Linked DNA regions of Rhinolophus ferrumequinum. The protein of the gene in region 2 purifies or fractionates together with the protein of the main gene of each other region. This does not show direct contact. Links are inferred from orthologs where the notes say so. Each region holds a gene or a part of one and is shown on either strand. Other genes may lie near its edges.

Region 1 (7,301 bases), on a different chromosome or scaffold from region 2:
TAGGAATATTATAATTTATTAATAGGTTGGCTCTAAAAGCTGAATACCAGGGGCCGGCCCGGTGGCTCCAGCGATTGGAGCTCCGTGCTCCTAATGCAGAAGGCTGCCGGTTGGATTTCCACATGGGCCAGTGGGCTCTCAACCACAAGGTTGCCGGTTCGATTCCTCGACTCCCAAAAGGGATGGTGGGCTGTGCCCCCTGCAACTAAGATTGAACACGGCACCTTGAGCTGAGCTGCCGCCGAGCTCCCGGATGGCTCAGCTGGTTGGAGTGCATCCTCTCAACCACAAGGTTGCAAGTTCGACTCCCGCAAGGGATGGTGGGGCCGCGCCCCCTGCAACTAGCAACAGCAACTGGACCTGGGGCTGAGCTGCGCCCTCCACAACTATCATTGAAAGGACAACAACTTGACTTGGAAAAAGTCCTGGAAGTACGCACTGTTCCCCAATAAAGTCCTATTCCCCTTCCTCAATAAAATCTTTAAAAAATAAAAATAAATAAATAAATAAATAAATAAATAAATAAAAAAGCTGAATACCAAAAAACACCATTCTTTAAGCTGTCTATCATAGTAATTAATTCTTCAGTCATATTCTTCTTTTTCAGATTTCTCTTCCAGAACTCCTATCCTTCCATTCCAATCTAGCCTAGGACTTGGTATTTCCTGAATTTGATGCTGTGATTCCTGGATATGATGTTGTCAGATACACTATTTTTTACATTTTGCTTGATCACATCTTCAAGTAAATCTTTTTTTAAAAATAAATTTTATTGGGGAATATTGGGAGACAGCGTGTTTCTCCATGGCCCATCAGCTCCAAGTTGTCCTTCAATCTAGTTGTGGAGGGCGTAGCTCAGCTCCAAGTACAGTTGCCGGTTTCAATCTTTAGTTGCAGGGGGCGCAGCCCACCATCCCATGTGGGAATTGAACTGGCAACCTTGTTGTTGAGAGCTGGCGCTCTAACCAACCGGTCGCCCCCGAAGTAAATCTTTTAAAAAGGGTTATGTGGGAGTTCATGAGTCCCTGCATATCTGAAAATGTTTTCGTTCTGCTCTTTTACTTAATGATAACTCAGCAGGAATAGAGTTAAAAAAAATTTTTTCCCTAAGAATTTGAAGTTCAAGAAATATTTCCCTCAGAAACTTTAAAGTCTTTGTTTGTTATCGTCTCATATCTAGCGCTGCTAAGATTTCTGATTCCAGCTTGATTCTTGGTCTTTCATGGGTTGCTTTTTTTTCCCCTCTTTGGAAATTTAGGATTGTCTCTTAATCTTTAGTTATAACATTTCACAAGGTTGTTTTTTTCTTTGTTTTTGCTCTGTACAGGCAGATGTTTTCAGCTCTGGGAAGTTTTCTTCCATTATTTTTGGGGTGATTTTCTGTCATTTGTTTACTTTGTTTTTCTTTTGTAGTATCAGTCCTACAAAAGAAACTATTTCTCTTAAATTTTCTCTTGCAATTTCATATTTCTTCTATTTTCTTTAATATGAATTTAATATACTGTGTATGTTAATATATAATACATATATAAATTTCATATTAAAATAAATTGAAATTGCATATTTCTTCTATTTTCTTTAAAATTTCATTGACTTTGTCTTTTAATACTTCAGGTAAATTTATAATTTTGGCAATTTCTTATTTCTAATTTCAAGACTTACTTTTTATTTTTGGATTGTTACTTCATCTGAGTATACTATTCTTGTTTCATAGGTGTAGTAAACATGTATGAGCATACTAATTAGTTTTTTTTAAGTTCTCTGAAGTTTGTTTCCTCTATGGTCACATTGTGTTTATCTTCACCCCCTCCCCGCAAGCTGGAGATTTTCCTTAAATAACTAATAATCCTGGGTTGTCTGTTCCTATTTCAGATGAGGTAGTTGGAATGCTGATTAGGCACCTTGTGAACTTAGTAGGGTCTTGCCAACTTGCACAACTTCACTCTAGGGTGAGTAAGTAGGAAATGAGCCATTGTTCCAGAACGAAGAATGCTTTATTCTTAGTCATTAAATGCTTAAATAGCTGCCCAATCCTCCCCAGGGATTATAAAAACTCTTGATTTTTAGGCTGGGATAAATGCCTAGCTGTTGTATCTGAGATACAGGGAGGGTCGTGTTGTCCTACATACAGACCCCTAGTCTCCCTGTTTTCAGCCCTGCTTTTTACTATTGCTTTCTGTCTTATGTCTCCAAATTTCAGTCTCTCTAAATCAGTAACTCTGGCAGATAGGCCCCCTTCCACAGCACCCCATGCACCTATTCCACATTACAGTTTCTTCCATTTTGTTTAGTCAGACTGCACTCACTTTCTGTGTGTAAAATTAAAAAAAAAATTATGGGGCTCTCTTCCCATTTTCTATTTTGTATGGGCTTGTATAATTTTTTATTCCTTTATTAGCATTTTAATGAGGTCTCAGGAAGACGACGCAATGAATGCTGTTAGCCGGCTTTAATAAACAAATCCTAAATGTAGGTTTTAAGAAGGTATTTGGGGCAGAGTAGGAAATAAGAAAAAACAACCAGTGGAATTGTAAAAGAAAAACAACAAAACCAAAAATAAAAACAAAATATCTCTGAGTCTGTGATATTGACAGTTTCCCTATGTATGCATAACTTAGTGCTTTTGCATCTTAACTCTCCAGAACCACACATTTCAGAGATATGATGGATCTCAGACATCTAGTTCACACCTCATTTTACAGTTAAGAAAAGCAGGACCCAGCAGTAAAGTGATTTTCCCACCCTCACACAAGTAGAGAGAGGCAGAATTTGAGAGTGGAAAGTGGAAACTAGAAAGATGACTACTTTTCTTTTTCCTCACCACACTGCTAGGGATTAACAAGATGAGTAGATCAGCAGTCAGACGAGAAAGATCTTGAAAAACAGTCAAAGAAGGATGGCTTTTCCTCGGTCAATAGCCAGATGTCCAAGAAAATGAAATTTTAGGATGCTAATTTGGCAGCTATATAGTCTTCGCTGGCAGCACAGTCTAACAATTGGTAGCCATGTGTTGAACGTACTGAAGGGGGCGACTATACAGCAGGACGGGATCTGTAATAATCCAAGTGTGTGGTGATCCTGAGGGAACAATTAGACAGCCTGCTCAGGACGAAAGAGGAGAATTTGGAGAATGAATGAATGTGAATACTGAGGAGAGCCGGGAAAATGTTAGTGGCATCAATGACATACTGTAAGCTGGTTAATTGTGGTGGTGGCGAGTAAGTAAAGTAAAATGATGATTCAACTCCTTTCAAGGGCATTTTAAATTATTTTAATAAACACTAGAAGCCTGGGAATAAATATAATTCACATCACTCTTACACTCTTTAGAGATAGCTTACCCACATCTTTAAATTACTGGATTCAGTCCACTAATTTTGGCTCCGACAAAAGAAACCCGACTGCGATTCAGTACAGGAAAATTGGGTTGCCCGAAATAAGGTTACCAGTTGCCTGGCAGACTCGCATCGCTGTCGTGAGGACTGAACAAGACAACCTAGCACAGTACTTGGCACATCGCAGGGACCGAATGTGGACATTAATTTCCGCCCACGCTCTTCTCTCCCGTTCTAATCACTACAGGAATACGATCCACACTGGCGTGGGTTTTCGGAGACACCTAAGTTCTTTCCCTAGGGCCGTGTGGACAGCCCCGGGTGTCTCAGGTCACACTATTACCTTCAGTTGCCACATTTCGCAAAAGCGAAGTGTGGGGGGAAATCCAAGTTCCCCGGACAAAGGGTGCTCACTGGGCCGCGGGAGCGCAGCCGGGAACGTACTGCCGGTCCTTAGCCCTGCTCCCCACCGAGGTGGCGGCGGTCCCGGGGTTTGTGTAACGGCCCCGCCAAGGAGGGGGTGGGGCGATTATAAGGTTTGGGAAGGCGACGATTCTGCTCTTTGGGCCCGGCCGGTCCACTTCCTACGGCAAGCAGAAGGAGACAAACGCCGTCTTTCCTCGCTCCCACCTACAGCCGCTTTCCAGAGCTGGCTCGGAATCTCACCTCCCGTGGCCGCAGGGGCCGCGTGTGGGGGTGTGTACGTGTGTAGACGCCCAGTGCCCGTTACTTAGCTTCAGCGCGGAGTCCCCGCTGGAGCCTGAGTCACCCCCGCTTCCAAACCCATAACCCGCCTTTCCCTGGAAGGCGCCGGAGGCCTGGGGGCCGCCGAGTCGCGCTCGCGGGAGGGCGCGGGGAAGCGAGGCGGAGCTCACGGCGTCTCCCGGCCGGGGCCTGGGGCGGGGCTAGGTGTCTCGCGCAGGGGGCGGGGCGAGGTGACGTCAGCGGGCGCCCGGGCCGTACTGTGGCGGCGGCGGCGGCGGCTGTAGTGGTGGTGGCGGCATTGGCGGCGGTGGCGGCGCCCGGGCGGCATCAGCAGCAACAGCAGCCCTGAAGAGGGTGAGACGGCCGCGGTGGCGGCAGGTCGGAAGTCAGGCGGGACCTAGAGCTTCCCGCCTGTCGCTGGCCGAGGCTTTTTTGCCTTTTCGTACCCTGCTTCTTCCTCCCGGCCCTGGCTAGGGCAGGGCAGCGCGCCCCCGGGGAGGGGCGGAGCTGTAGGTGAGGCTTCGGGACCCCCTCCCCCTCGTGTCGCCGCCGGGGGGATGGGGAAGTCGGGGAGGGGCGGGCCCCACCCCAGCCCACCCGAGTCCACCCAGCCCACCGGCGGGCTCCACCCAGTGGAGGTCGGGGATTGGGCGGGAGCTGAGGCGTTGGACGTGGGTAACCCCGGGCGGGAGGTGGGAGAATGGGGTTCCCGGCGTTGGGGAAACGGAGGGTGGGAGGTTGATGAGGCGTGATGTTGCGGGCGAGGTAGTGGCGAGATGGAGGAATTGGGGAGCCGTGAGGAGGTGGGGGTGCAGTCAGGGTGGATCTGTGGATTTGGGTGACTGATGTAAAATGTTGAAAGAGATGAGGATTCTTTTTTATTCCCATCTGGGAAATGGTAAGATACCGGTAGGAGGTGAAGGGTTGTGTTTCAAGAGGGAGATGAGCTGTGGATGTTGCCTCGGAGGCAGTGGAGAAGCTGTTGCACTAGGTTTCACATTTCTACTTTAGGGTTTTGGTTATTTTTCTTTTTTTTCCTCCTGGCGGTTTGAGTGGGTCTGTCGGGGAGGGAAGAGAATCCCTGCTTTTGGCTCAGGGTGGGTAAATTGTGAGTGTGGATGGATTTGAAGTTTTAGCCTTCAAGAAGAGTGAGATCTTGGGTTAAGACAACTTCGTTCAGGGAAATAGGTCCTTCAGGTGTTATCTTCCAGTCTTTTTTCTGTGTCCAAAAGATCTCTTTTTACCACTTAATTTACAAGCTCTTATCCGGGCCCCTTAAGAGCAGGCCTGAGAATCGGTTGCTTTGGAAGACACATTTCTGAGTAATAGTTGGAGGTGGTTGTGCTTGTGGTTGACTTGCTTGGGATGGATAAAATGAACAATTTGGAATAGGTCTTTTGGAGCTAATTATATGAAAAGTGCTTAAATGTTTTAAAGCACAACTGTCTTTTACAGCTCGTTTTTCAGTGGATGGACCTTGACATTTAGACGTTTTGTGTTCAACAAAATTATTGATTATTTTTATTTCTCAATTGCAGATGTCTTTATTAGGCACTTTAAAAAGAAAGTGGAATAGTTTACTTTTTGGTAGACCTCTCAATTTCTGAGTAATGTTCTTGGAGTCAAGTACTTTTAAAATGCTCCTTAACAACATTTTGGGGGCATGTGCCTGTCACTTCATAGGGAGATGTTACTAAGAGTAAACAGTGTTTAGTGTTCTTCACATCAGTGTTTCATAACTTAGCACATTAAATCAGAATCTTTTTTTCTGGATTCCTGCTCCCTATTAGATTACAGTATTCACTGACCTTACCTATCAGTGTCATGTAAACTAGTTCTTGCTCGGAAACAGGTGCTGTGATGGACATGTATTATGTAATGGATGAAGTAGGCATGACTCTCAATAATTCATTTATGGAGGAAGAGAAACCGTCATGAAGTGGAATTTCAGCAGTGACTTTCCCAAGGCTTACTCAATTAATTTGGGAAAATAGCCAGAGAAGTGCTTTCCGGTAACCCAAGAGAGAAATATACAGATGTCAGTGTCAGTAGTTGCAGATCATTGCCTTTTTTAACATGCCTACTTAGTGAGCAGACCATTATCTTCTAGCAGATACTTCTGCTTGAAGAGACTTATAGGAAACAGATGATATAAAAGCTATTAAGATAAAAAGGGCGTGGTCCTATTTGTAGTTATAAATAAACGATTTAATTAACTATTCAGAAAGATCAGATTATAAGTTGGTACGCTGCATTGTTTTGATTTTGCATTAGTTACTTAGAAGGAAAAATTAAAATTCACATATCTAGTTTTGGGTTTTAAATTATACTTTGATTTAATTGGGTACACATGGGGACAAATGCAAACTGAGATTTTGGGTGAAACTGTATTGCCAAAATGACATTTGCATGGCTGACTGTGAGATGTGATTCTTCTTGCAGGAAGGAAATCATGTAATTTGGGGAAAGTGTGAAGTAGAAATGACCTGTTTCTCTTTCGAATTTCTTGTGCCTGAAAAGAACAACAACTACATTTTTTCAAGAAATACCATTTGCTGGTCATTACTGTGATATCCTTGTTGAGTCTGCTGAGGTGTTCTTTTTTTTTTTTTTTCATTACTAAAGTCAGATAAGTATGTGAGTCTGTTAATTCAACATTAATACTGGAAACAGTAAAAATAAAGGTTCTAATAGCAACAGCTGTTCTTTTTCTCACTATGTTTATGGTTTTAGAAGTAGTATAAGAGCTGTTAAATGTGCATTTTGCATATACTGGATCAAAAACATTAATGGAGAACAGGGAGTGAACTATTTTGATTAATCAAATAATCAGTACATTGATTATCAATTTTTAGAAAAATATAATGTAATAAAGTAAACAGCATACAGATTGTGTGGAATATAATTTACTTTTGTGGCTCTTCAATATCTGAGTCTTGCGACACTGATTCATTCATTTATTCATTCAACAGTTAATTTATTGAGTATGGTTCTGGGTGCTTTTTTGGCTCTTGGGGGATACAGTAGTGAACAAAGCTGACCAAAATCCCTGCCTTCCTGGAGCTTGCCTTCTAGGTATCTTCTGGGGAAATGAAGAAGAATCTAGCAAAGGAGACAGACAAGAGACATTAAGTTAGGAAAACCAAGGGAGTGTGATTTATTAGAAGGGAAGGAAAGAAAGTTTTCAAGGAGGAGGGAATGATCAACTGTGTCATTGTTTAAAGATGTGTCAGAGTATAGGGTAAAAGAGAAATCCACTTG
Region 2 (7,814 bases):
CAGGAAATTCCACTATTAGTGATGCTAAATTTGGTAACTCAAATCTCTCCGTTGTAATGATACATGTTTTCCTTAATAGTTAGTATGCAATCTGTAGGGTTATACTTTGACATCATATAATCATTCGGTTCCTTGTGCTAGGCAGCTTCTGAGATAACCCCAATAATCCCTGTTCCTGGCATTTATACACTTGTGTAATCTCTCCTTGAACGTGGACTAGATTTATTGATTCTCCTCTAACAAATAGAGTACAACATATTGGGCAGCTCACTCATAGGCATGCTCCAATTGAGCAAGAGTACACCCAGAAAAACTGGCTGCCAGTGACTAAAGGCAGTGTGAGTCATTTTGGGTATAGACATAAAGTGAATAGTGTGTAGACTATTTAAAAATCAGAGCGAAAAACAATATGAGGGAGCCCAGGATGTAGAGCTGATGGCGCCTGCCACAGCCCTGACCTGAGCTGGTAGGATGGAGAATAGAGGCAGTACTCACGCTCAGATGGGAGAAGATTGTGTGCAGAATCACTGATAAATACCACCAAAGCCTAAATTCCGGGAAGGTGAACGGCTGCTTTGCTTTCATGGGCATCTTTATGAAGCAAAGTGTGTAAAGATTTTTATAAAGGACAAACAAATGAAATACTTTGTACTTACAGTGATTAGAGTAAACACTGGGGTGAATGGGTTCCAGAAAGCAGAGGACTGAAATAAATGGAAACCGATCTGCAGAAACAGGACTTCAGGAAGCCATTATTCGGAAAGGAAGATGAGAGAGGCTGCCCCAGGAAAGATGTCTGAGCTACAAAACAAAAATGTTGGAGTCACCCAGAAATGGAAATGGGGGCAGAGCCAGTGAGATACCTCAGCCTCCTCAGAAGAAAAAGGGCCAAGGAGACTCTGATGTTAGATTCATGAACAGAGTTGAAGGTTCTTGAAGAACTAGAATCAAGATTTGTCATTGATAGAGACTTAATGACCAGGTAAAAACAGCTCTTTTATCTTTCTGCCAAGAACGTAGATGCCCTTGTAAGGATTATGCAAATTATAAGAGATTTTTAGCAAACACAGAGAACTAGTATATGTGTGTTAATGAAGTTGTATCAGGAATAAGAAGACTGGAATGGAATGTTGGGTGCTCAGCTAACTTTATAAATTTGAAAGACCTCCAGTATGCTGAGACCCTTAAAAATTGTCCCGAGGCACCTTTGTCCAGGTGTGTACGGAGCACCAGCCACATCTACTGAAAACTGGAGCCTTGTTGGCCTCTACACGTGGGGAGTCTTAGTTTATGACTGAGCTATCTTCACGATTTCCTGGCAAAGAATTCTGCAACTTGATTTACTGCTAGCAATTACCAAGTGGCTCCTCCTAGGAGGTATAATTTACAGTAAATTAAATGCACAGATCTTAAGAGACAGTTCATTGAATTTGACAATTGCATACACCCGTGCAGCCTTCAGTCCAATCAAGATGAGAACATTTCTATCACTCCTGAAAGTTTCTTTGGGTTCCTCTGCAGCCAATGCAGAAATCCACCAACCCACACTGGCAGCCTTTATTATGATTTTTATTCACCATAGCTTATTTTCACTGTTTTGAAACTTAGCATAGACGGTCATACAGTATGTACTCTTGTGTATCTGGCTTCTTTTGTTCAACATAAAATTTTCGAAACTTGTTTACATTATTATGTGCATCAAAGTTTGTTTCTTTTTTATTTCTGACTTGCATTACACTATGAATATACCACAATTAATTTTTCTCATTCTCCTTGATGCACATATATATTTACAGTTTTGGGCTATTATGGATGAGGCTACTGTGAACACTTCGTGGACATATGTTTTAATTTCCCTTGGAAATTGCAGTGAAATTATTGGGCATTTAACATTCAAAAAAACTACCAAACGGTTTTTTAAAGGGGACATACCAATTTACATTCCCATAATTAATATATGAGAGTTCCAATGGCTCCCTATAATCACCAACATTTGCTCTTATTGATCTTTTTAAGTTTAGCCATTCTATTGGCTGTGCAGTATTTTCTCATTGTGAATTGAATTTGCATTCATGATGAATGACATTGATGGGCTTTCATGTTTATTGGCCATTGGCTTATATGTATTATGAATATTTTTTGCCAGTCTATGACTTGCCTTTTTATTTTGTTTTCATTGCTTTTTTTAAAAAAACAACTTTAAGTGTGTTTTTCCAGGACCCGTCAGCTCCAAGTCAAGTAGTTGTTTCAATCTATTTGTGGAGGGCACAGCTCACAGTGGCCCATGTGGGAATCGAACCAGCAACTTTATTAAGAGCACTGCACTCTAACCAACTAAGCTAACCAGCTGTCCCTGTTTTCATTGCTTTTCCTGGACAAAGCTTGTAATCTTGTTGAAATTCATTTTATCAATTTTCTTTTCTTTTTTTTTAAGGAGGGCTCAGCTCACAATGGCCAATACGGGGATCAAACCGGCAACCTTGGTGTCATTAGCACCACACTCTAACCAACTGAGCTAACCTGCCACCCCTATCAATTTTTTTTAATGTTAATGTTTCATGTATCCTAAGAAATCTTTGCCTACCTCACAGTCACAGAGATAGTCTCCTATGGTTTCTTCTAGAAGCTTTGTGGTTTTCAATTTTCTGTTTTACATTAAGATCCATTTCAAATTAATTTTTGTTTATGGTATAAGTTTATGGTATAAGGGTCAAGGTTAATGTTTTTTTTCACATTATGATCCAGTTGTTCCAACACCACTTGTCTAAGAGACTTCTTTCTCCACTGAATTTCATCGATACCAATGCTGTGTTTCTAAAATTTAAAATTCAGTTCCTCATTTGCATTGGCCACATTTCAAGTTCTCAAGAGCTACAGGTGGCTTCTGGTTACCATATCAGTGGGGCGGATATTAAGTATTTGCACATCGCACAAAGTTCTGTGACAGCACTGCTCTAGACCTTAGGGCACTGTGTCTACTAAATATTTCAGATTCCGTGAAAGATAATATAAACCAAATAACAAAGTATGGACTGATATAAGGAAGTTAAAAATCAATCACTTAACTTATATGAGGCATGTAGAGTAGTCAAATTCAGAGACAAAGTAGAATGGTGGTTACCAGGGGTTTTGGAGAGGGCGAAAGGAGAGTTACTGTGAATGGATACAAACTTTCAATTTTGCAATATGAAAACAGTTCTGGAGATGGATGGTGGTGATGGTTGCAAAACAATGTGAATGTACTTAATGCCAAAGAAATGTACCCGTATGCTTCAAAATTGCTAAAATGGTAACCTATATGTTATGTATATTTTACCAATATAATTTTTTAAATTGCTGTTTACCCCAGCTTGTGTTTAGTGCAGATGAGAAAGCAATCAGAGTTACTAATGACTTAATTCTTTCTGGTATATCTGAGGGACACCCAACTGAGGTACAGAGGAGACATTGGGGCCCAGAGCCCCACTTAATTTAATGTCTATTTCCTGGGGGTATTTCCAGTAGACCCACTTTAGCTAATAGGAAAAGAGAGAAATACAAGTTGAGAGTTATTTTCCTACTATGTGTTGTCTACATATTCGTGTAATACTAAACATTTCATTCATAATGGTGACCCATGGCAAACTAACAGCAGAAGCAGTCTAGTTTTTAAATTAAAGTTCCCAAACTAAAAAAAATCAAGTCTCTAAGCACTTGATTTTGACAATTTAACTAGCAGATAATGTTGATCTATATAGCTATGTCAACAATTTAGTAAAGCATCGACTCTACTACATAAATTTAAGAAATGTCAGGGCATGTATGAATACGGTACTCTGAGGATCTTGGCTTGTGTACAATACAAGGTCTGTTTATTTAAATATTATACTTTAAAACTCTCATTAAAACTACTTAATAAAAACAATTCCAGAATTTACAACTGATTTGTGGAAAGGAAGTGAAAGGAGCAGTATTAGATGACTTGCAAACACTCATGAAGAGGCTGTGAAAATAGTCTTGCTACCCAGGAGATGAAGTGTTGACTTGATGAGTCAACCCATCCATTTAATGCCTGATTTGCATAACTGAGGCCATCTACAATGGCTGTCCTCTAGGATCTCATTTTGTCTAAGACATATTAATGAACCTGTGAATATCGTTTAGTATTGAAAATAAATATTGTAATACACTTCACAGCCTTTCAAAAGAAGCAACACTAAAAACGGTAAGTTTTCAGAAATTGCTCATGGTTTCAAATTAGGGGGTGTCTCAATTTTCATAAATTCTAAAATAAAAGCTAACTGAATATGTACTAAGCTGACTGAATATGTACTAAGCACAGTGTAAACAATTTTTGTTCTCAAATATTTATTGAAACTTTCTATATCCAAATACAATCCTATGAATACTATTATCCCCATTTTACAAATAAGTTTTCAGGGAGAAATGACATAATTAATGAATACTGAAACGGGGCTTTTACTTTGTATTTCAAAGCCAAAGTTTTAAACCATTAAATCGAGGAGCATTAACGCTCTCTAATTCTATTACCTGAAGAAACACTCCGCCCCAAGAAACCTCGCGATATTATTCAAGCTATCACTCCCAACGTGCAAAGCGGCTTACTATTATTCAGCCTATGAGCATCTGGACTGTCCAGGCACGCCTCGAGTGCGAAAAGCAGCCTGGGAGTCGTAGTTCAGGATCCCGTGTCGTCAGCGCAGCAGTGGTGGCTCACTTGGTTCCAGTCAGCGGGTTCACTGAGGGCGAGCTGAGGTGAAAAAAAAAAAAAAAAGGGGGGGCGCGGAACTGGAAAGGGTGAGTAAGACACTGTCTACGCGATAAAAGGAGGCGGCACCGCTGCGTGGGGCTGAGTTTAAAAGGTGCGGCCCCTATACAGGGAAGCGCCTATCTGCGCTGGTTAGAGCAGATTGAGGCGGAGCCGGAGCTCCGTCCTTGCCCGGGTTCTCACCTCAGCACCGCGGCCATCTCCACCATGCAGTCTCGGGAAGACGCTCCGCGCTCTCGCCGCCTCTCCAGTCCCCGTGGTGGGAGGCGGCCCAAGAGGATTTCCAAGCCCTCAGTTTCGGCTTTTTTCGCGGGCCCTGAGGAGCTGAAGGACACGGCCCATTCTGCAGCCCTGCTGGCACAGCTCAAGTCCTTCTACGACGCGCGGCTGCTGTGTGATGTGACCATCGAGGTGGTGACGCCTGGCAGTGGGCCTGGCACGGGCCGCCTCTTCCCCTGCAACCGTAACGTGCTGGCTGCCGCGTGTCCCTACTTCAAGAGCATGTTCACCGGCGGCATGTACGAGAGCCAGCAGGCAAACGTGACCATGCACGATGTGGATGCCGAGTCCTTCGAGGTGTTGGTCGAATACTGCTACACGGGTCGCGTGTCGCTAAGCGAGTCCAACGTGCAGCGCCTTTATGCAGCCTCGGACATGTTACAGCTCGAGTACGTGCGGGAAGCCTGTGCCTCCTTCCTAGCCCGCCGCCTTGACCTGGCCAACTGCACCGCCATTCTCAAGTTCGCCGACGCCTTCGACCACCACAAGCTGCGCTCACAGGCCCAGTCCTTCATCGCCCACAACTTCAAGCAGCTCAGCCGGATGGGTTCGATTCGGGAGGAGACCCTGGCAGATCTGACTTTGGCCCAGCTGCTGGCCGTGCTGCGCCTGGATAGTTTAAACATCGAGAGTGAGCAAACGGTGTGTCACGTGGCGGTGCAGTGGTTGGAAGCGGCTCCCAAGGAGCGGGGTCCCAGCGCTGCGGAAGTCTTCAAGTGTGTCCGCTGGACACACTTCACTGATGAAGATCAGGATTACCTGGAAGCGCTGCTAACCAAGCCCATTGTGAAGAAGTACTGTCTGGACCTTATTGAAGGGGCCCTGCAGATGCGATATGGTGACATACTGTACAAGTCTCTGGTGCCAAAGCCAGAGTGCAGCAGCAGCTCTGTTGTTTCTGCAGCAGAAAATCCACCCCAGAGGCTGGGTGTGTGTGCCAAGGAGATGGTGATCTTCTTTGGACATCCCAGAGATCCCTTTCTCTGCTATGACCCATACTCAGGGGACATTTACACAATGCCCTCACCTTTGACCAGCTTGGCCCACACTAAGACTATCACCTCCTCAGCTGTCTGCGTCTCTCCAGACCATGACATCTATCTAGCTGCCCAGCCCAGGAAAGACCTCTGGGTGTATAAACCAGCCCAGAACAGTTGGCAGCAACTTGCAGATCGCTTGCTCTGCCGTGAGGGCATGGATGTGGCATACCTTAATGGGTACATTTACATCTTGGGTGGGCGAGACCCTATTACTGGAGTTAAATTGAAGGAAGTGGAATGCTACAGTGTTCAGAGAAACCAGTGGGCACTGGTGGCTCCTGTTCCCCACTCCTTCTATTCCTTCGAATTAATAGTGGTTCAGAACTATCTTTATGCTGTGAACAGTAAACGCATGCTCTGCTATGATCCTAGTCACAATATGTGGTTGAACTGTGCTTCTCTTAAACGTAGTGACTTTCAGGAAGCCTGTGTCTTCAATGATGAGATCTATTGCATCTGTGACATCCCCGTCATGAAGGTCTATAACCCAGCCAGGGGAGAATGGCGGAGGATTAGTAATATTCCCCTGGACTCAGAGACCCACAACTATCAGATTGTCAATCATGGCCAAAAGTTGCTTCTCATCACTTCTACCACCCCACAATGGAAAAAAAACCGGGTGACTGTGTACGAATATGATACTAGGGAAGACCTATGGATTAATATAGGCACAATGTTAGGTCTTTTGCAGTTTGACTCGGGCTTTATTTGCCTCTGTGCTCGTGTTTATCCTTCTTGCCTTGAACCTGGTCAGAGTTTCATCACTGAGGAAGATGATGCACGGAGTGAGTCTAGTACTGAATGGGACTTAGATGGATTCAGTGAGCTGGACTCTGAGTCAGGAAGTTCAAGTTCTTTTTCTGATGATGAAGTCTGGGTGCAGGTAGCACCTCAGCGAAATGCACAGGATCCGCAGGGCTCTTTGTAAATATTTGGAAACACTACAGGTGATTCTACTGCTATGGAATGTATTTTAAAAAGATATCCTTTCCTTTTCCTGAAAAAAAAATTGATTAGTACCACAGATTTGGTTTAGAAAGCGTAATGTTGAATTACTTATGTAACGTTCCAAAATTTAAAAACAGTCCACAAAATTAACCTATATAATAATTTACTGTGCTAAAAGTCGAGATTAAAATATGCAAAAAATGAAGTGTACAATTGATTAAAATGCTTGGTGGTTTTTTTCATTGTTCAAGTATTCATTGTACCAGTGAATTGTTATGGTTAGTTACACTGCTTATATTTTGGTTATCTAATTTAGTCTTCAGTTAACTTTTTAATTCTATTTAGTGCCACGAGGCATTTAACTTTTTAAGTTTTATAATAGAAAATTGGACTAGAAAGTGTTGCTATGGTTTTGAAGGTTTATATTTTCCTTCAGAATAATGAAAATAGATTTACCAAATTCTAAAGTAGTCAGTTTTTAGTATTCTAGGTTAATATAGTTTGTTAAATTTGGTTTCGTTTTCTTCCCTTTTGCAAAGGAAAGAAATTGAACATATAAAGATTATTAAATAGCGATTTCATTTTGATATAGTGCAGAATGGTCTTAAGAGCTCACAGAAAATAAAAATAAATCAGGATTCCACTGTTTTAAAAGAAATTTAGCTTCTAATTTTGGAATATAAAATGTATATTTAATAAATGTGACCATTTTTTAATCTAAAACACATCCATTCTAGTAGTGTCACCAATTATTTAAACACCCTTCTAAACCAAAAGAG
Region 3 (8,004 bases), on a different chromosome or scaffold from region 2:
AATCAGATTATCAAAGGGCCCCTGGAAAGCCGTCAGACACACTTCCTCTTTCTGGCCTGTCTTCATCTCCTGGCTTCTCGGGTTCTGTTGGAGCATCTTGCCTCCTTCTTCATGAAGACTACTAAGATGGCTTGACTTCCCACACCCACCCTGTGAGCTCACCTGCCTCCACCTCTACAAGGCTAGTCCTTCCACCCTTCTTCCTTAAATGTTCCTTCCTTAAATGTTGAAATTTAACAGTTCTTCCCCCTGGTCTATAAACAGGCTGGAGCCTGTGTCAAAACAAAATGACAATGACACCTGTCTCACCTCCACACGTCCCTGTCCTATCTCTTTGCTTCACAAAGTCTGCATTTCTCTACCCACCTCTTCTCTTTTCTCTACGGCACTGTCAATCACGTGTCCTCTTCCCAAACAATATTAATCACCAGTAGCCTACGTCCTCCCACACTGCCACACAGCGATCTAGCTTATGGACAAAAGTGGAGACTGTGGTCAGACAATCCAGGTTCAAACCTGGCCCCACCAGGTAGCAGCTGTGTGATCTCCTCTCGATGCCCAAGTTTCCTTCCCTATAAAATGTAGATGGTCTAATATTCACAACACGGGTTGTAGCAAGGAATAAATAAGACATGTAAAATACGTAGCAGAGTGCCTGGCAGACAAGAAAGGCTCAATAAATGGGACCTATGATTGTTGGCACATCTCAATATGCCTAACAGAGAATTTACCTTTGCTGCTTGAACTTCTTGTCCCTCCTGGTTCCCCACTTGTGATTGAGATTCGCCTACGGCTGCAGTAATTCAGGCCCATCCTTCACTCTGGGTTCCCTATGACCCCCGGCCTTCTATTTGGTCTCCCTACTTTCACTCTTTCCTCACAAAGCCACTCTCCATACTGCAAAGTCCACTCATCTATTCCTCTCCATAAAAACTCTTCCGTGGCTCCCTATTGCCTAGCAGATAACACCCACTTCTAAGTCACCCTAGAAGCCCTCTGAGCTCTGGCTTCTTCTCCTTGCTTCCAGGTCGTGCCCACCCTTCTTCCACCCATCCTAGCCCTGCTTTCTCCCTTATGCTCCCCTTGTGCCAAACGCTGTCAGGCACCCTGAGGAGCCATGCCGCTTCAACACTCTGTGCCTTCCTGTCCTTCCCCCTGACACAAGCATCATTTTAGTGCCTACGCCTCCAGACCTGCAGTTCCACGCAGCTATCACCCCTGTGTCACTTCCCCACCCCCACTCTCCACCAGCTCACCAGCTCTGCATTCTGCCGTCACACACAGCCTCCTGGACATACTCTGTCACACGTCGGTGCCTTTGCCCAGGATGTTCCCTCCCTCTTTATCTGCCAAATGTGCATCCTTCATGTTCCGTGCCCAGGTCATCATGGCCAGGGGAAGCCACGCTGCTTTTGCAGGCTGAGCTGGCTCTTCTCCCTCTGGGCTTCCAGCATGCCCGTCTTGCCTCTGGTCAGTCACAGCACTCTCATATTCGATTGTGTGGCTTTGTTTAAGGAACAGTCTCGCCCAGCAGCATGAACTCCTCCAGGAGAAGGAGGCACACACCCCTCCCCCCGCCCCCCATGTCCTGTCCGGCTCTGTTTTCTCCTTAGCACTGTTACCACTGATGCACTGCATGTGTTGCTCACCTGTGCGTCTCTCCCACTAGAATATAAACTCTAAGCCGGCAGGAGCTTTGTCTGTTTTGATGGATCCCCAGAGCCTAGAATAGTGACTGGCACGTGGTAAGTGCTCCATAAACATTTGTTGAATACATTATGCAATCACTGATCAATGTTACGTTATCTAATTTCGTATCTCTGGAAGTGAATACATTACCTGGTTTGTATTAGGTACTCAGTATATGTTTTTGGATGAATGAATACTTTATCACGTTGTTAGCGCGTTTAAAAAAGTTCAGCCACTCGTGTTGGATTCAAAGTTCTCTGTCTTCTAATCCTAGCCACTCAATTTTGAATCTTCTGTGTCTCAGCATGAGTTCTTATCTTGAGCCTAACTGCTCTGCTCACTGCCTTTGACTGTATCTCATGCACTGTTCTTTCCATCCCTGCCAATACTCCAGACAGAAATAATACTAACTCATCTATTCAACTCATATTTATTAAGCACCTGAGATAAGCCAGTCATTGCTCCAGCCACTGTCCTTCTCCTATGTCTATGCCACTTCTCTCTTTTCTCAAGAGGAGGACAACTTGATGCTGACTGACCATCCAGGTCCATGTGACTCTCTTCTTGGGCACGAATAACCCATCACTAGCGTTATGAACCGATAAACAGATATTACACATTCGCAGATTTTACAGAAAATGGCCCTTTCAAGAATCAGCACTTTTTAACATTTCAAGTATTTTGCATGGAAATTTTTCTAATATTTTCTCACATCGTCCTTATCTTTGAATAGAGTATTGTATAGAGAATATCCATCTAACCTTTGAAAGTCAGGGTCACCACTATGGACACTGCTATTCTGTGATGTCACAGCGCACCAAGAAAAGTAACTGGTAAAAGGAAAGGACATGAGTTTGGGAATTAAACAATCTTCACAATGACACCCTGTGCAGTTCCTGGGGTCTCCTGAGGTCACCTCCTGCTCTCTTTTAATGTGTTTCTAATCTATAGTAGGCTTAGGAATTAGATGATGAAGCTTATTAGAAACGTTTGTAAACTAAGTGTAAACAGCGTCGAAGTGAGGGTACGAAAGATTCTTTTATTTATGAGGTCTATCTACGTTAAGGTACGGATATTATACTATCTATTTTGTTGATCAGAGGCCTTTCTCACTTAACTCCTGTTTTGCAGTTCTACTCATAATTCCTGAGGCTGAATAAATAACTTCTTTAAGTATGCCTGTAGTGCATTTCGCATTTTATATATTCTCTTTCATTGTTAACTTTTTATGTGCATGTGTCACAACTTTTCAGTGACATCGTTCCCTGGTTAGATTATTAACTTCCCAAGGGCAATGGTATTTCATAGTCATTTGCTAAGTATTTTTTCATTTTTTCATTCATTTGCTAAGTATTTTTTAAAGCGACTACTATGTAGAAAGATCTGTGATAGAAAAAAAGACATGACATTGGCAGGCACATTATTGAGGAGTGACATGCAAATGACCAATGCAAGGTAGGAAGGTGAATCTAAAAATCCAGAGTGCTATGGGAATTCAAGTGAGGGAGGAAATTGATTTCTTGTTGGGAGAACTGGGGAAGATGGCGTTTGAGTTGGATCTTGGTAGACAGGAAGAATTTCAGTGGGTAGCATTCTAGGGTTTGGGAATGCTGTGAGAGTGGACAGGAAGGGGAAAATAAATGCATGAATTTGTGGAAAGTATAGTCATACTGGAGTCTAGAGAACATCCGATTCCCTAGTCAAGTTTGGAACAAATGGATAAGCCAGACAAAAGGGGTGGCAGATGGAGCCCACAGTATAACCTTTATTATTGCTCAAGGTTAAGCTGTAGAACTTGACTTCAGGCAAGAGCTCAATAAGACTGCTAACTGAATAAGGCTGATCCACTTTGTGACAGATAATGGGAGCCAGGCAGGCCTCCAGGTTACACAGACCATCATTCAGTTTCTGAGAAGTTTTCCAACTCTTACCTTTTCAGCTTGAATACTTGAGATTGTTGGATACAAATGAATAGTAGATGGCATTTAAAGGTGAATTTATTATCTTAAAATCGAATTTAGTTTGTACTACCCCTCTTTCCCACAAAAGCACCACATGGTTAAGGTACTTAGACTTAGAAAAGTGGATTTGAATCACTTCCCATGAAAATTCATTTAGGATCTGTATATCACATGGGGGCTATTCAGGAGCATCATAACTAAAATCAGAAATCCCTGGCCTGCAGTAACTTTGAAGGGTCTACATTTTAAAGATGAAAGAGACATGTTTTTATAAAGCTTTGCAGTGAAGTATAGTGGAGTAGGAGGGCTGGGAGGGGAGGAGTCAAGATTGCATATTGAACATATGATGCCCTCTGAAGTGCAATATATGGAAGAGAGAACGGGGAGTGGAAGGGATGCGGAAGGGGTGGTGAGAAGAGAGTGAGGGCCTTGAAGGCTGAAGTTCCTTAACTAAGGCTAGTTCAGGGTGGGCATGTGTTTCCCCACCCCAACTGCCCACAGTATTCATTATACACCACCTCTACTCAGCTGCGTCATGCAAGCAGCTTTGGGTCCCAACCAGACTCCAGACTCTTCACATGGATCCCCAACCCTCTCTGCACAAGACAACTAAGGAAGAAGGGTGCAACAATTCATATAGGTAGTTGACAACTACTCCGTGCCCGCTGGGCCCCAGCTACTTTCCATAATCCTCACCACAATCCTGTAAGGTTGGTGTTACCACCCTCTGGCTTTTCAGACTGGGAAACAGCCTCACAGATGGAAGCAGACCTACTTGAATCAGGATTGGAACATGGGCTGCCTGCCTTCAGAGGTATGCTCTTCCAGCAGTTTCAAAAGACTGGGGTTCGGGGCAGTGACTGCTCTGTTGGGCAGGAGAAGGGAGAAGGTTGCCTGTGGGGACCTGTAGGACGTCTGGGTGTGCACGGCTATGTGTTTCTGGGGCGGCATACGAGTTTCAGTGTGAGTGTGAATACTGGTGGAGGTGTGGGTGTATATGGATATTTGTTGGCCAGTTCTTAGAATGTGTATGTATGAGTGTCTGGGGGTGGGGGCGCCGGGTTGGGGGATGAGTCCCTGGGCTGCTTGAACATGTGTTGGGGCTTTGATGAGGGCAAACAGGCTTGGATTTTGTGCATGACTTGAGTGTGTGTGTGTGTGTGTGTGTCCCGGTGTATGGAGTGACCGGGTGGGGAGACGCCTCCGGGGCTCGGACCCGCCCCCGCGGCAGGTGGGCCGGGCCCGCCGCGGGGTTGGCCGCGCTCGCTGCTCTTGGCTCGCGGCCGCGCCGGGCTCGCAGGGCTGGGCTCGGGCTGCGGGGCGGCGCCGGGACAGGAAGCGGAAAGCAGCAGTGCGGCGGCGGCGGTGGCGGGGTTCTGCCTCTACAGGAGCCCAGCGCAGGCCGCAGAGCCGGGGCTGCTGCGAGCCGAGACCGCGGCCGCGGAGCCCGCACGGCCGGCGCCGAGGTGAGTCCGGCGAGAGGCCGGGCGCGGCGGCGGGGCGGCGGGCGCGGGGCGCAGATCTTCGGCGGGGAGACGCCCCCAGCGCGGATCCCTCACCCCAACCCCAGGACTCAGCCCAGGGTTCACCGTCCTCCTCCCGCCTCCCATTCTACGGACCGCACCCCGTGTGTGCTTCCCGGGGTCCCACTCCTCTCCCATCCCGGCGAGGTGCACCCCTCCTGCTCCTGCCCTTGCCCTGCGCTCCCCGCCGCACCCCACTTCCTCCGGTCCCCACATTTCCTCCCCGCGCCTCGGACGCCCCCTTCTCCCCTAGCTGCAGTTCGGGGTGCGCCCTCGGGTTGTGCGTTCCGGCGGCTGGCAGGGAGTGGCCGAGCGTTCCTGCAGGCACCCGGCGGCTGCATCGGCCGTGCCGGCCGGGGGCCGGGCCGCCCTGCGCGCCGGGGGAGCCGGGCGCGCACTCTGGTTCTCACCCTGCCGCGGGGCTCGACCCCGTAACCGCCAGCGCCCGGGGCCGCCGGGCCCTGGGCCAGAAACCGGCACAGAGCTGGCCTGTGTTCACACCTCGCTTCCAAAATTGAGCCGGCCCCGGAGGCCGGGGGGGCGAGTCCGGTTGTGCATCGCAGAGCGCAACAGGCAGGTAGGAGTTTACTTTCAAAAAACGCCGGGGTGGAGCAGAAAGCGGCCGGCGAGTCTGCCCGAGGGGGTCCCAGTTGGAGGAAATCTCACCGCACCGGGGCGGCTTGGTCACGGGCAGGACCTCATTTCCAACGGCAGTCTTTGAACTCCCCCAAGCAACGCGCCCAGAGCCGTGTGAAGCTTTATAAAAATTTAAACGCGTCGGTGGCAGAGGCAGGAGTGGGGCGGAGCCGCGGCCTGGCGGCCGGGAGATGAGCTTGGAGTGAGACTTGGAGTCCAGAAATCTGTTGGATCGGTTTTCGCGTCTTCAAACCAGGTATCAAGCCCGCACCGCGAAGGTGTTGGGAGCTCTTTGAGCTGCTCGGTAAGAGATGCAGGAGCAGTTTTTCATGGTGGTTGTGTGAATGGCACGTGCATTTTTGTTAACCCCCCCCCTTTTTTTTTTTCTGGGGCTGTGGTTGGCAATGCATGTATTTTTAGACGCGTATTCCAAAAGCTAGCAGGCTGTGAAGAATCTGGCATTTTCAGGGATGTGTTTATAAATTTTAAAGGGTTGCTGGAAATATTATAACTGGTGTCACCCATCAACAATACTAATCAGCATTCTCCTTCCTGAAGGTGGGTTGTTTGATTACACAGCTCCTAGGCTCTAAGTGGGATGGCAGAAACTGTCTGCATCCAGGGACATGTAATTAGTCACTTTATGGAACCACTAATTTAGAGTGTTTAAGAGTTGAATTTAAATCAATGTGATACAGTTGGGGCTTTGATTTCTGGGAAGAAACTGTTTTATCCTACGGTTCAAAGAAATAACACTTCTCACCTATCTGTGAGCATTTGGTATTCCCAAACTTTGGTTTCTCTCAGAATCATTAGTGAAACATCTATGGTGAAATTTTCACTGTTACCGTGTCGGCAGTGTGACTTGGTTGCCACTTAATTTGTAGGTAAAATGGGAGAAGAATTTTTGAGAACGGCATCTTCGTAAGGACTGTTTGCCAGGCAGCACAGTTTTATTGTCTTACGGATTTGAACGACATAAACCATAAAGAGAAGTTCCTTACCAAGCAACAGTTCCATGTCACCCTGATCTATTGAAGAATAAACAAGCGTTGAGTGAAGAAGGGATTGTCCCCTCTGTCTCCCTAACACACACAAACATCCAGTTTGTTACTACCCTAGGCCTCAGCAGTATTTGGGTTGCTGATCACATTGTATTTTAGCAGGTAGTTTCCACCTTTGGGTTGTGAGCGCCTTAGGACCTAGAGCTATTAATATTTCAGCTTCCTTTCTTTTCTGCTGGCCTCCCCACAATGCTTGGGACACTGAACCTGTGAGTAGGAGTTGAAACTGCAAAATTCTTTGTGGGTTTTGTGTGGTTTGGGACGATTTACGATTGTTGCCCACCCTCCTTTGTGGAAATAAATAGTTCTGGTAATTGCTACGTTGCTGTACATTTTCCATAGCTAAGAACACAGGTTCTGGAATTAGACTCTCAGAGTTTAAGCCCAGCCCTTACCAGGTACGTGACCTTGGTTTCTTTAACTGTATCATGAAATTAATATTGCATTTTCCTTATAAGGCTTGTTCGGAGGATTAAGTGAGATATTACATGCAAATGACTTAAAACAGTCCCTCACACACAATAATCACACTGTAAGCTGTTAGAGTTTTGTCACCATACTCTATCTGTAAAGTGAACTCGCTGTGGTTAGGGGACTGGCTGGGTATGGGCAAATGCTTTGGGCATCATGCTATGCCATTCTCCAGAAGGCAGACAAGACAGGATTAGGTGGGCTTGGGGCTGGACCATGTATGTACGAGTGACTTTGGTCTCGCCTGAAGCCTGATGAAAAGACACATGCATGTTCTGCTGTCTGTCTCCATCAGTGTCCTTCTGAACCCTACTTACTGGGCAGCAATCATTGGCCCTGCCACCATGGGATTTGCAGAGGAGGTAGTGCCTGTGAAATCTCTTTTTTTTGAAGCTTAAATATCTAGCAGGGGACTAGGGGGTCACTTAAAAGCAAATGTACATCATAGAACCCCAGGCAAGTGAACCCTTCACTGCTCCTCAGAAATCTACACCCAGCTGCTCGGGGTGTTTCAGAGGTTGTGAAGGACTTGAGCCAAGATCACTTATTCTGGGAAGGTGAGCTGAGATCATTAGCAAGACAGGTAAAATGAGGTTGACATTTGTTCTTTCCTTGTGAATAGTGGCCCAGAATCACGCATTTGTTAAGAGCTCTGTTGTA

What was found. Proteins that work in one complex are often made in the same cells at the same time.
Region 1: the proteins of KBTBD7 (region 2) and ERC1 purify together in Homo sapiens (co-immunoprecipitation; 4 studies listed by BioGRID and IntAct, counting the BioPlex papers as one, with this or other methods). This does not show direct contact. The link is inferred for Rhinolophus ferrumequinum from reciprocal best matches to the Homo sapiens genes KBTBD7 and ERC1.
Region 3: the proteins of KBTBD7 (region 2) and VANGL1 purify together in Homo sapiens (co-immunoprecipitation; 4 studies listed by BioGRID and IntAct, with this or other methods). This does not show direct contact. The link is inferred for Rhinolophus ferrumequinum from reciprocal best matches to the Homo sapiens genes KBTBD7 and VANGL1.

Annotation. Positions count from the first base shown.
Region 1 is NC_046293.1:88,986,076-88,993,376, forward strand, and holds the start of ERC1 (ELKS/Rab6-interacting/CAST family member 1), read left to right. Parts: upstream 1-4,293; 5' UTR 4,294-4,553; intron 4,554-7,301. UniProt on the Homo sapiens protein: Regulatory subunit of the IKK complex. Probably recruits IkappaBalpha/NFKBIA to the complex. May be involved in the organization of the cytomatrix at the nerve terminals active zone (CAZ) which regulates neurotransmitter release.
Region 2 is NC_046287.1:8,877,565-8,885,378, forward strand, and holds the start of KBTBD7 (kelch repeat and BTB domain-containing protein 7), read left to right. Parts: upstream 1-4,809; 5' UTR 4,810-4,975; coding exon 4,976-7,015; 3' UTR 7,016-7,814. UniProt on the Homo sapiens protein: As part of the CUL3(KBTBD6/7) E3 ubiquitin ligase complex functions as a substrate adapter for the RAC1 guanine exchange factor (GEF) TIAM1, mediating its 'Lys-48' ubiquitination and proteasomal degradation.
Region 3 is NC_046305.1:45,998,911-46,006,914, forward strand, and holds the start of VANGL1 (vang-like protein 1), read left to right. Parts: upstream 1-4,996; 5' UTR 4,997-5,116; intron 5,117-8,004.